Arabidopsis thaliana: one gene and its partner. The protein of the gene in region 1 interacts with the protein of each later gene in a biochemical or structural test. Each region holds a gene or a part of one and is shown on either strand. Other genes may lie near its edges.

Region 1 (5,091 bases):
CCAACCGAGTTATGTTTTCAAAACTCACCATGTGAAAATTGGCAGCTCCCGCCATATCCTGGCAACCAACCACAGATGATGTATCATCCTCAAGCCTATTATCATCCAAATGGACAACCTCAGGTTTGACAGTAACACACAAGCCCTATTGAATTACTATTCCCACACACATACACAAAAAAAAAAAAAAAACATCAAAAGTCTAATGGTGATTGGAATTGGAATTGTGATGTAGTACCCACAGCAGCAAATGATACCTGGTCAGCAGCAGCAGCAAATGATACCTGGTCAGCAGCATCCTAGGCCAGTTTATTACATGCATCCTCCTCCTTACCCGCAGGTTATTATTTTTGCTAATAGTAGATTCCCTCTTTTTGTTCTTTTTTTATTTTTCTTTTACATAGTCGAAGAGTTAAAACTTTTGGATGCTGAAATCTCATCTCTGTATGTGTGTGTTTTGCAGGACATGCCATATCATAATAAAGGACGAGAGTAATAACTACTACTACCCGATGGTGATGATGTTTTTTTTTTTTGTGAAGGAAGTGTACGAACCCCTCTCTGGTTTTATCCACTCTCCCTTACCCAATCACTGAAACCATTTTCTTCTCTTTTTTAGATTCGCCTACTGATTTTGGTATTTCGTGTTGAAAACAAAAAGAAAGAAAAAAAGAAAGAAAAAAAACGATCTATCTGAAGTCTGTAGTACTGAGTGCACTCTCTCCTTTTTTTTGGCTGTATCAGAGATATAAAATTTAGAGTGTAGGTTGCTCTCATGCGTCTTTTACTTCGTCGTCTGCATATTTTTTTGTGTGTGTTGTGCTAAATTTCTGGGTGATTTTGTTATCTAAAATCCAAAAAGGATGCGGTTTAGATGAAAAGAATAGAAGAGTAACAACGATTTCAAAGCAGGCAGAACTAGTCATTTTTGGTGTTGTTGTAGGGCATGCTTTTTTCAATAAGTCGTTAAACGTTACTATAAGTAGTTGTCTCGCGATTATTATCATGATGATCGATATGACTCGGTGTATATGATTTGGTGGGCAACACATTCATGTTTTAAGATTCCACAAGAAAAAAATAAAATGGAATCAAACCTAGTTTTACCAGTCGCATATATTATTAGGTTAGGTGACTGCATTGAGTTGTTTATTTTTTACTTTTTTACGAGTCTCTCTCAACATTTATTGTTTTTGCTTTAAAGTGGAGATTTTAACCGTGGCTTGAGCTTGACACTTACGAATGATGTTGGGTCACCAATCTTCATCTAGAATTTACCTTATAATCACTTAGTTCAATTGCGAATCATGTTTTCGATGTATTTTCAACAACTTTTCACGAAACCAACTAACATATTTTACGGTCATCCGCTATGATAGAAAAACCGATGAATTTGCTAAGTTTGTTTCTTTCTTTTCAGTATGGATACCGAAATGAGACAAGAAAACAACGAATATTCAACTACAATACCTTACTTGTAATTGTAATGCTCTTTAAGAATCTATCAAAACTCATCGTTATGCAATTACTGATTTATTTCATGCGAGAAAAACCAAAAGTCCGGTCAAACAAAAAGGCAAGTGTGTCCTTATGTTGTGACGACGTGGTTTCATCATCCAAACACCGGACGTGAATATCACGCGCGCGTGGATTTCGGAACAGCGATGTGGCGGCTGTGAATACAAAGATATCAAGCAAGGTACACAGAATGTGTGTCTCTGTTTGTTTCTTTAATGGGACATTTTCACTTCATCAGAATCTGATCTCACCGTAAGCCTTTATACATAGTTGTACCCACTTTTTCTGTTTTAATCTTAAAGTTTACTATTTTTTCTAGTTGATAAAATGGAGTACTCATTATTTGTTACTAGTAGTAATTAATAAGGACAGAAAAAAAAAAAGGAAGAAGACAAGAGTGGTTCACAATCATAATGTAAACAACGAATAATAATAATTAATGTCCAGGTAAAAAGGTAGTGTTCATGGTGAATTAGTGGTGGCAAAAAAGTTGGTACTACTGGGAGAAAAAAAAAAAAAGGTTAGGTGAAGCTTTTTAGCCATAGCCAATAATACTACTCAATTTTGCAGAGACAGTGAAATGCTGAAATTGATAAAGAGAGAAAAAAAGAAGAAGAAAGAAGCCATGTTTTGAGGAAGGAGACATGCATCATCTCATCCTTTTATGATTTTTTTCTACATCTTCACCAAATCCATAGATTCTCTCTCCCTCTGATTTTTTGGTAAATTTGGTCGCTATATTTGACTACTTGTACTCTGCTTTGAGAAGAAAAATAAAACCATTTTTGGGTGATAGGTGAGAAAAAAATCTAAATACTTTTTTTGTTTCTTCTTTTTTAGTTATGTTCTGTTTTCTCGCTTGTTGTTTGGATCAATACTGTTCCAAGGTTGGTTTTATTTTCCCTTCTCAAGTTAGTGGAATTGCATGTTTGTGCTTTCTCTGTTTTTTTTATATCTAATTTGTAATCAAATCCGTTAATTCTCAAAGTCTGAATCTTTACTTTCTATTTTAGTATGGTAATAATTGGATCTGCTCTATGGTTTCTTTCTCTTAGATCTGTTGTTTGTTGCTTTTTCTTTGTGGATCAAGAATGGTTTTTGATTCCTTCCAAGTGAATAATGCAATATCAATATATCATGACTGGTTTTTTTACTTGATTGGAATTACAGGTGACTGAATAAACATCTCTTGTCTCTTGATGGATCTACTATGGTCTGGAGATTAGTTCGTTTATTGAACTAATGTTTTAGACAATGCAAGAGTTCCATAGTAGCAAAGATTCATTGCCTTGTCCTGCAACTTCTTGGGATAACTCTGTCTTCACCAACTCAAATGTCCAAGGATCATCATCCTTGACCGATAACAACACTTTAAGCTTGACAATGGAGATGAAACAAACTGGTTTTCAAATGCAGCACTATGATTCCTCCTCTACTCAATCCACTGGAGGAGAATCATATAGTGAAGTTGCTAGCTTAAGTGAACCTACTAATCGTTATGGCCACAACATTGTTGTCACTCATCTCTCAGGTCCACCACTTTTTAACCTTTTTCGCCTGAGTAAGAGTTCACATTGCTGCGTCAACTGCATTTAATTTTAGCTTATCTATGGTTTCTTGTTTTGGTGCAGGTTACAAAGAAAACCCGGAAAATCCTATTGGAAGTCATTCGATATCAAAGGTGTCTCAAGATTCAGTGGTTCTTCCTATTGAGGTTAATTATTAGACTATCATCTTTGACCTTATTATAAACCTTGTAGTAGTTCAAGATGAGACTGAGTTTAAAGCTGAATACTATCTTAATGATGTCTATATATGCTCACAGGCGGCTTCTTGGCCTTTACACGGCAATGTAACGCCACATTTCAATGGTTTCTTGTCTTTTCCTTATGCATCACAACACACGGTAATACACAATTGTAACATTTCAAGATAATACTGTTTCTTGTATCTTTATGAAAGTATTTGTTATGGAAATCTTTGCAGGTGCAGCATCCTCAAATCAGAGGGTTGGTTCCGTCTAGAATGCCTTTGCCTCACAACATTCCAGAGAACGAACCAATTTTCGTCAATGCAAAACAGTACCAAGCCATTCTCCGCCGCAGAGAGCGCCGTGCAAAGCTTGAAGCTCAGAACAAGCTCATCAAAGTCCGCAAAGTATGTTTGTTTATCTATATTGCACCACTCTGATAAATAGAATTATATGCAGAAAGTTTCAGTTATTATGTCAAGAGTCTTGACTCAAGACCAATTTTTTGTATGAAACTATGCAGCCATATCTTCACGAGTCGCGGCACCTCCATGCACTAAAGAGAGTTAGAGGCTCTGGTGGACGTTTCCTCAACACAAAGAAGCATCAAGAATCAAATTCCTCACTATCTCCTCCATTCTTGATTCCACCTCATGTCTTCAAGAACTCTCCAGGAAAGTTCCGGCAAATGGACATTTCAAGGGGTGGGGTTGTGTCTAGTGTCTCGACAACATCTTGCTCGGACATAACCGGGAACAACAACGACATGTTCCAGCAAAACCCACAATTCAGGTTCTCAGGTTATCCATCAAACCACCATGTCTCAGTCCTCATGTGAGAGAGCTCCGGCAAGTGGTGGATGAGATAATGAAGGGAAGTCATCCTTGGCTAATTTAAATCATTGATCCATTAAGTTTCTATCTTATAAATCTGCTTTCGTTCTACAAAAGAAGAAGAAATCTTTCAACTATTTTTTTTTTCCGTTGGCTGTTTATTTTATTTTATGTGATTGTTGCTGAATATTGTTTAATACTTGATTTAAGTTTATTAGTTTCGATTAAGTGCATCTGCATGGATTTGTGATTTATGTATAATTATTTGCTTTTAGAGCTCACGTTTGTTGCCTTTTATAGTCCATTTTCAAAAGAGATAAGATATTAGTCCCAGACTATACAACATAATCATATCTACTAGTAATCATATAAACCATAATTAGTAACAAGACCGATCACATGGTAATCACTTTTGGCTTTAGTCAAATATTGTGTGACATCTCATAATTCAAACGAAGTTGACCAACGCAAATAATCATGTTGGAACAAAATCATCTCATATATTATGTCTTCACGTTATCATTTCTCAATTTCTACAAACACCAAGTCTTTACGATTACATTCATTCACCTACCATTGATTGGACTTGGACATCTGTCTAAATCTCTGCTATCCTTCAGATTTTAGCACAAGATCCCATAGAGAAAAAGGATCTTCATATTTTTGATATTGGTGTGTCTCACGGCATGCAATGGCCCACTTTGCTGGAGGCTCAAAGCAATACCACAAGGACCTCCTCCTCGTGTTCGAATAACTGTCTTATCCGATCTCACCGAAGACATACCTTTCTCTGTTGGTCCACCAGCGTACATTTATGGTACTCAATTCATTGGTTGTGCTCAGTCCCTCAACATAAACCTCCAAATCAGTGTGCTTGACAAGTTCCAACTCATTCATACCTCTCCGCGCGAGAACTTAATCGTGTGTGTTCATTTTAGGCTGCATCAGCTGAAGCATAGCATCCTTGATGAGAGAAGTGAGGCTTTGAAA
Region 2 (3,828 bases), on another chromosome or scaffold:
TGATATATATTCTAATGTGATCACACTACTTTTGTACCAAAAACATGGGAGCCTTTATATACATGATGCTTACAGTTGTTTGTTCTTACACTTTGGGAACATGAAACACAATGTAGAGAGACTCTAACTCGGTTCTGTGACTGGAGCGCCAGCTAAGCAAACGAGGACCATAACAAAAAAAATGCTTTTCACATGAAGGAACTTGAAGAATCAGCTGTTTGTGTTCAAATCTTTTGGTTGAAATGTTGTCTCAACGAGCTTGCTATGATCTCGAACTGTGGCCCTGTAACCTGATTTTCCCTGAGGTGTAGACACGGAAACCATTGGTAGAGGAAACAAGTTTGATAGGTTTGTGTATATTGGTAGAGGTGTTATAGCATCTATAGGGCCTAGGCACATATACTGGCTTGATGAAACAAGTGTTTTCAAGGTGTGGAATCGCATGGAGTTGGGAGGGAAGATCGATTTCAAACTCTCCCAATTCATCAGTAACAGCCTTAATCCATTTGGACCTCCTTTTGGATCCAGTGTGGCACTTGATGGCAACGGTGGCACCTGCGAGGATCATGTTAGTATATATTCGGACGGAAGACAAGAAACATGAAGAAAAAAGGTAGAGAAACAAATACCTGGGATAGGGATGGAGTGAAGGTGAGGACGTGAAGTGTCGCAGAGAAGAGATCCGGTGATCACGACAGAGGAGAGTTTCTGTTCACCGTAGCCAGCCATCTCCACCATTTCCGTTCTGGTCCATAAATTATTCCCAAATGCTCCGGTGAACAAGAAGAAAGAGAGTAACAAGAAGCAACGGATGATGAAGAAGCTTCCCATCGTTAAAAACAAAGAAAAGAGGTTTGTTTGTTTTTCTTTGTATTTTGTTAAAGAAATGAAAATAGCATGAATATATAGAGAAGAAGAAGGAAGCTAAAGAAGAGGAAGAGACCCTTTGCGTGGTGGCTTCAGGTCACACAGCTCTGTACGGCAGTGTCTCTCTTTATACCTTGTAGTAGCCTTTTTCTTTTCAGTTGTATCTTTTCTAAATATATTAAAAATCGTGGCTGACTTGTTAGGGTCAAATTTAGAGCTGAATCTTCCAAATGAAACAATGAACCGAGAGCGAAAGAGAAAGAGAGATACGGCACTTGGAAGCAATTACTGAGTGGTTCGCCTACTCTTTCACTCCTTGTATAAGTATTATTTTAATAATAATATTTGGTGCAACGTTTTTGTATCTAGTGTGACGTTTCTCCTTTTCTTTATTTAATTAAGCCAATTCAGTTAGAGTAGTCATGCAGTAACCAAAAGATTCAAGCCTACCCTCAACTATACTCGCACACATTCAGCTTTGAACACAACGGCTTCAACATCGTGGGTTTGGTCGTGTCTACGTGCTCAGAATATCTAGTTGATGGTGGGAGTCAGCAGGGTTTTGACCAAACCACAGTTTCTCAAGTCCTCATTACATTGAAAAAAGTATGGGCTTAAAAGAAGCCTAGATATTGATAATAGGTCCATCACCTTTAATGGGCCATTCAGTTTGATTATCTTAACGGCCCATTAGGATTCTCCAGGTGGGACAAGTATTAGCTATGTCATTAAGAGCTTAATACAGCTGGAAGCTGGTGATTATTGTTAATGTTAACTAATCACACGCTTAGAAAAGCGACAATGGTTGGACCCACAGGAGAAGATCGAGACCGTCAAAAGTGGACAAAACTGGGACGCTTTTTGTTTCCAAACAGCTGTCTGATCTGATTGGTCGATGCAGTTTTGATGGCAATGAACCCCACCACAGACCACACCCTCATGATCCAACCCAATTCGCTCGTAACACAAAAAAAAAAAGAAGTGAAAAATTGACCGAAGGGTCGTTGAGTGGCAGTTACCCTCTGTCTCCCTAACGCCCACCTATCTTCTCCGTGTTTTCCACGCGCTATCTTTCTCTCTTCTGTGTGTTTACCACGCTCCTCTTATGCGCGTCGGCTCGTGACAAAAGTGTGCCGGGTCCACTAACTGTCCACAACACGTGGCAAAGCCTTAAAGGGCTGTCTATCTCTCAAACAAGATCAATTCCAATCCGACGGTCGAGCACGTATCCAGTTGTCAGAATCTTATCAGTAAACGGACGGTTCATATAAGATCACGTGTCAAGTGAGCAGAAGTCGTGCGTCCTCTCTTTATATAAGCTCCGGCGACTCCTTCACCACTGTGTACAATACCAGCCGACACTTAACAATTCACACCTGCTCTTTTTACTCTTTCTAAAACCCTAAATTTTCTCGCTTCAGTCTTCCCACTCAAGTCAACCACCAATTGAATTCGATTTCGAATCATTGATGGAAATGATTTGAAAAAAGAGTAAAGTTTATTTTTTTATTCCTTGTAATTTTCAGAAATGGGGGATTCCGACAGGGATTCCGGTGGAGGGCAAAACGGGAACAACCAGAACGGACAGTCCTCCTTGTCTCCAAGAGAGCAAGACAGGTTCTTGCCGATCGCTAACGTCAGCCGGATCATGAAGAAGGCCTTGCCCGCCAACGCCAAGATCTCTAAAGATGCCAAAGAGACGATGCAGGAGTGTGTCTCCGAGTTCATCAGCTTCGTCACCGGAGAAGCATCTGATAAGTGTCAGAAGGAGAAGAGGAAGACGATCAACGGAGACGATTTGCTCTGGGCTATGACTACTCTAGGTTTTGAGGATTATGTTGAGCCATTGAAAGTTTACTTGCAGAGGTTTAGGGAGATCGAAGGGGAGAGGACTGGACTAGGGAGGCCACAGACTGGTGGTGAGGTCGGAGAGCATCAGAGAGATGCTGTCGGAGATGGCGGTGGGTTCTACGGTGGTGGTGGTGGGATGCAGTATCACCAACATCATCAGTTTCTTCACCAGCAGAACCATATGTATGGAGCCACAGGTGGCGGTAGCGACAGTGGAGGTGGAGCTGCCTCCGGTAGGACAAGGACTTAACAAAGATTGGTGAAGTGGATCTCTCTCTGTATATAGATACATAAATACATGTATACACATGCCTATTTTTACGACCCATATAAGGTATCTATCATGTGATAGAACGAACATTGGTGTTGGTGATGTAAAATCAGATGTGCATTAAGGGTTTAGATTTTGAGGCTGTGTAAAGAAGATCAAGTGTGCTTGTTGAACAATAGGATTCACTAACGAATCTGCTTCATTGAATCTTGTATGTAACTAAAGCCATTGTATTGAATGCAAATGTTTTCATTTGGGATGCTTTTATGTTTTGGTGAGAGTTATGTAGTGATTCAAGTGTCAAAATGCTTACATAGAGAGGCAGCAAAGAAACCAGCTTCGTTAGAATCTGTGAGGAAAGCTCTGTTTGTTGAGAAAGAAGGTCAATTGCGCGAATGTAAGTCGCGGGTGTTGTAGTACAAGTTGCCTTGTTGATCAGGTGCAGAGACGCGGAGAGGAGTGAAGCCTTCGTAGTCTCCGTTGGTTTTAGCAGAGCAAATGTCTGTCATATACCTCAATAGCTCATAATTTTGTACAAATGGTTGATTTATGTATTCCTCCCAAGGCATCCACTGCACCAAATTCCCATTTTCAGAAAGAGAAGAGGTTTATGAGTGTTTTAGTGGATGAGACTGGAGAGTCGTTGAAGTGAGGAGCAAAAACTGTTACCTGAGCTGCCTCAATCTCTGACTCCTGTGCGTTGATCTCCAAAGAAAGGGGCTTTAACATGCACACGAAGAACAAATCTGACTTTCCAAAGAACGCTTTGTGTGTTTGTCTGCCAGAATTTTAAAACAGACGAGAATCAGTTATGTTGCAATATAGAAGATTATGCAGTT

What was found.
Region 2: the proteins of NF-YA6 (region 1) and NF-YB2 form a complex in vitro, tested with the Arabidopsis thaliana proteins (one study listed by BioGRID).

What each region holds. Positions count from the first base shown.
Region 1 is NC_003074.8:4,640,196-4,645,286, forward strand, and holds NF-YA6 (nuclear factor Y, subunit A6), read left to right. Parts: upstream 1-1,734; 5' UTR 1,735-2,314; exon of another isoform or gene 2,315-2,319; intron 2,320-2,461; exon of another isoform or gene 2,462-2,688; 5' UTR 2,689-2,772; coding exon 2,773-3,049; intron 3,050-3,149; coding exon 3,150-3,232; intron 3,233-3,343; coding exon 3,344-3,424; intron 3,425-3,504; coding exon 3,505-3,675; intron 3,676-3,791; coding exon 3,792-4,106; 3' UTR 4,107-4,376; downstream 4,377-5,091. Other genes in the region: CID4 (CTC-interacting domain 4), read left to right, coding at 46-123, 236-340, 464-496.
Region 2 is NC_003076.8:19,307,019-19,310,846, forward strand, and holds NF-YB2 (nuclear factor Y, subunit B2), read left to right. Parts: upstream 1-2,208; 5' UTR 2,209-2,395; coding exon 2,396-2,968; 3' UTR 2,969-3,254; downstream 3,255-3,828. Other genes in the region: AT5G47635 (Pollen Ole e 1 allergen and extensin family protein), read right to left, coding at 263-555, 630-831; NUDT2 (nudix hydrolase homolog 2), read right to left, coding at 3,373-3,561, 3,659-3,767. UniProt on the Arabidopsis thaliana protein: Component of the NF-Y/HAP transcription factor complex. The NF-Y complex stimulates the transcription of various genes by recognizing and binding to a CCAAT motif in promoters.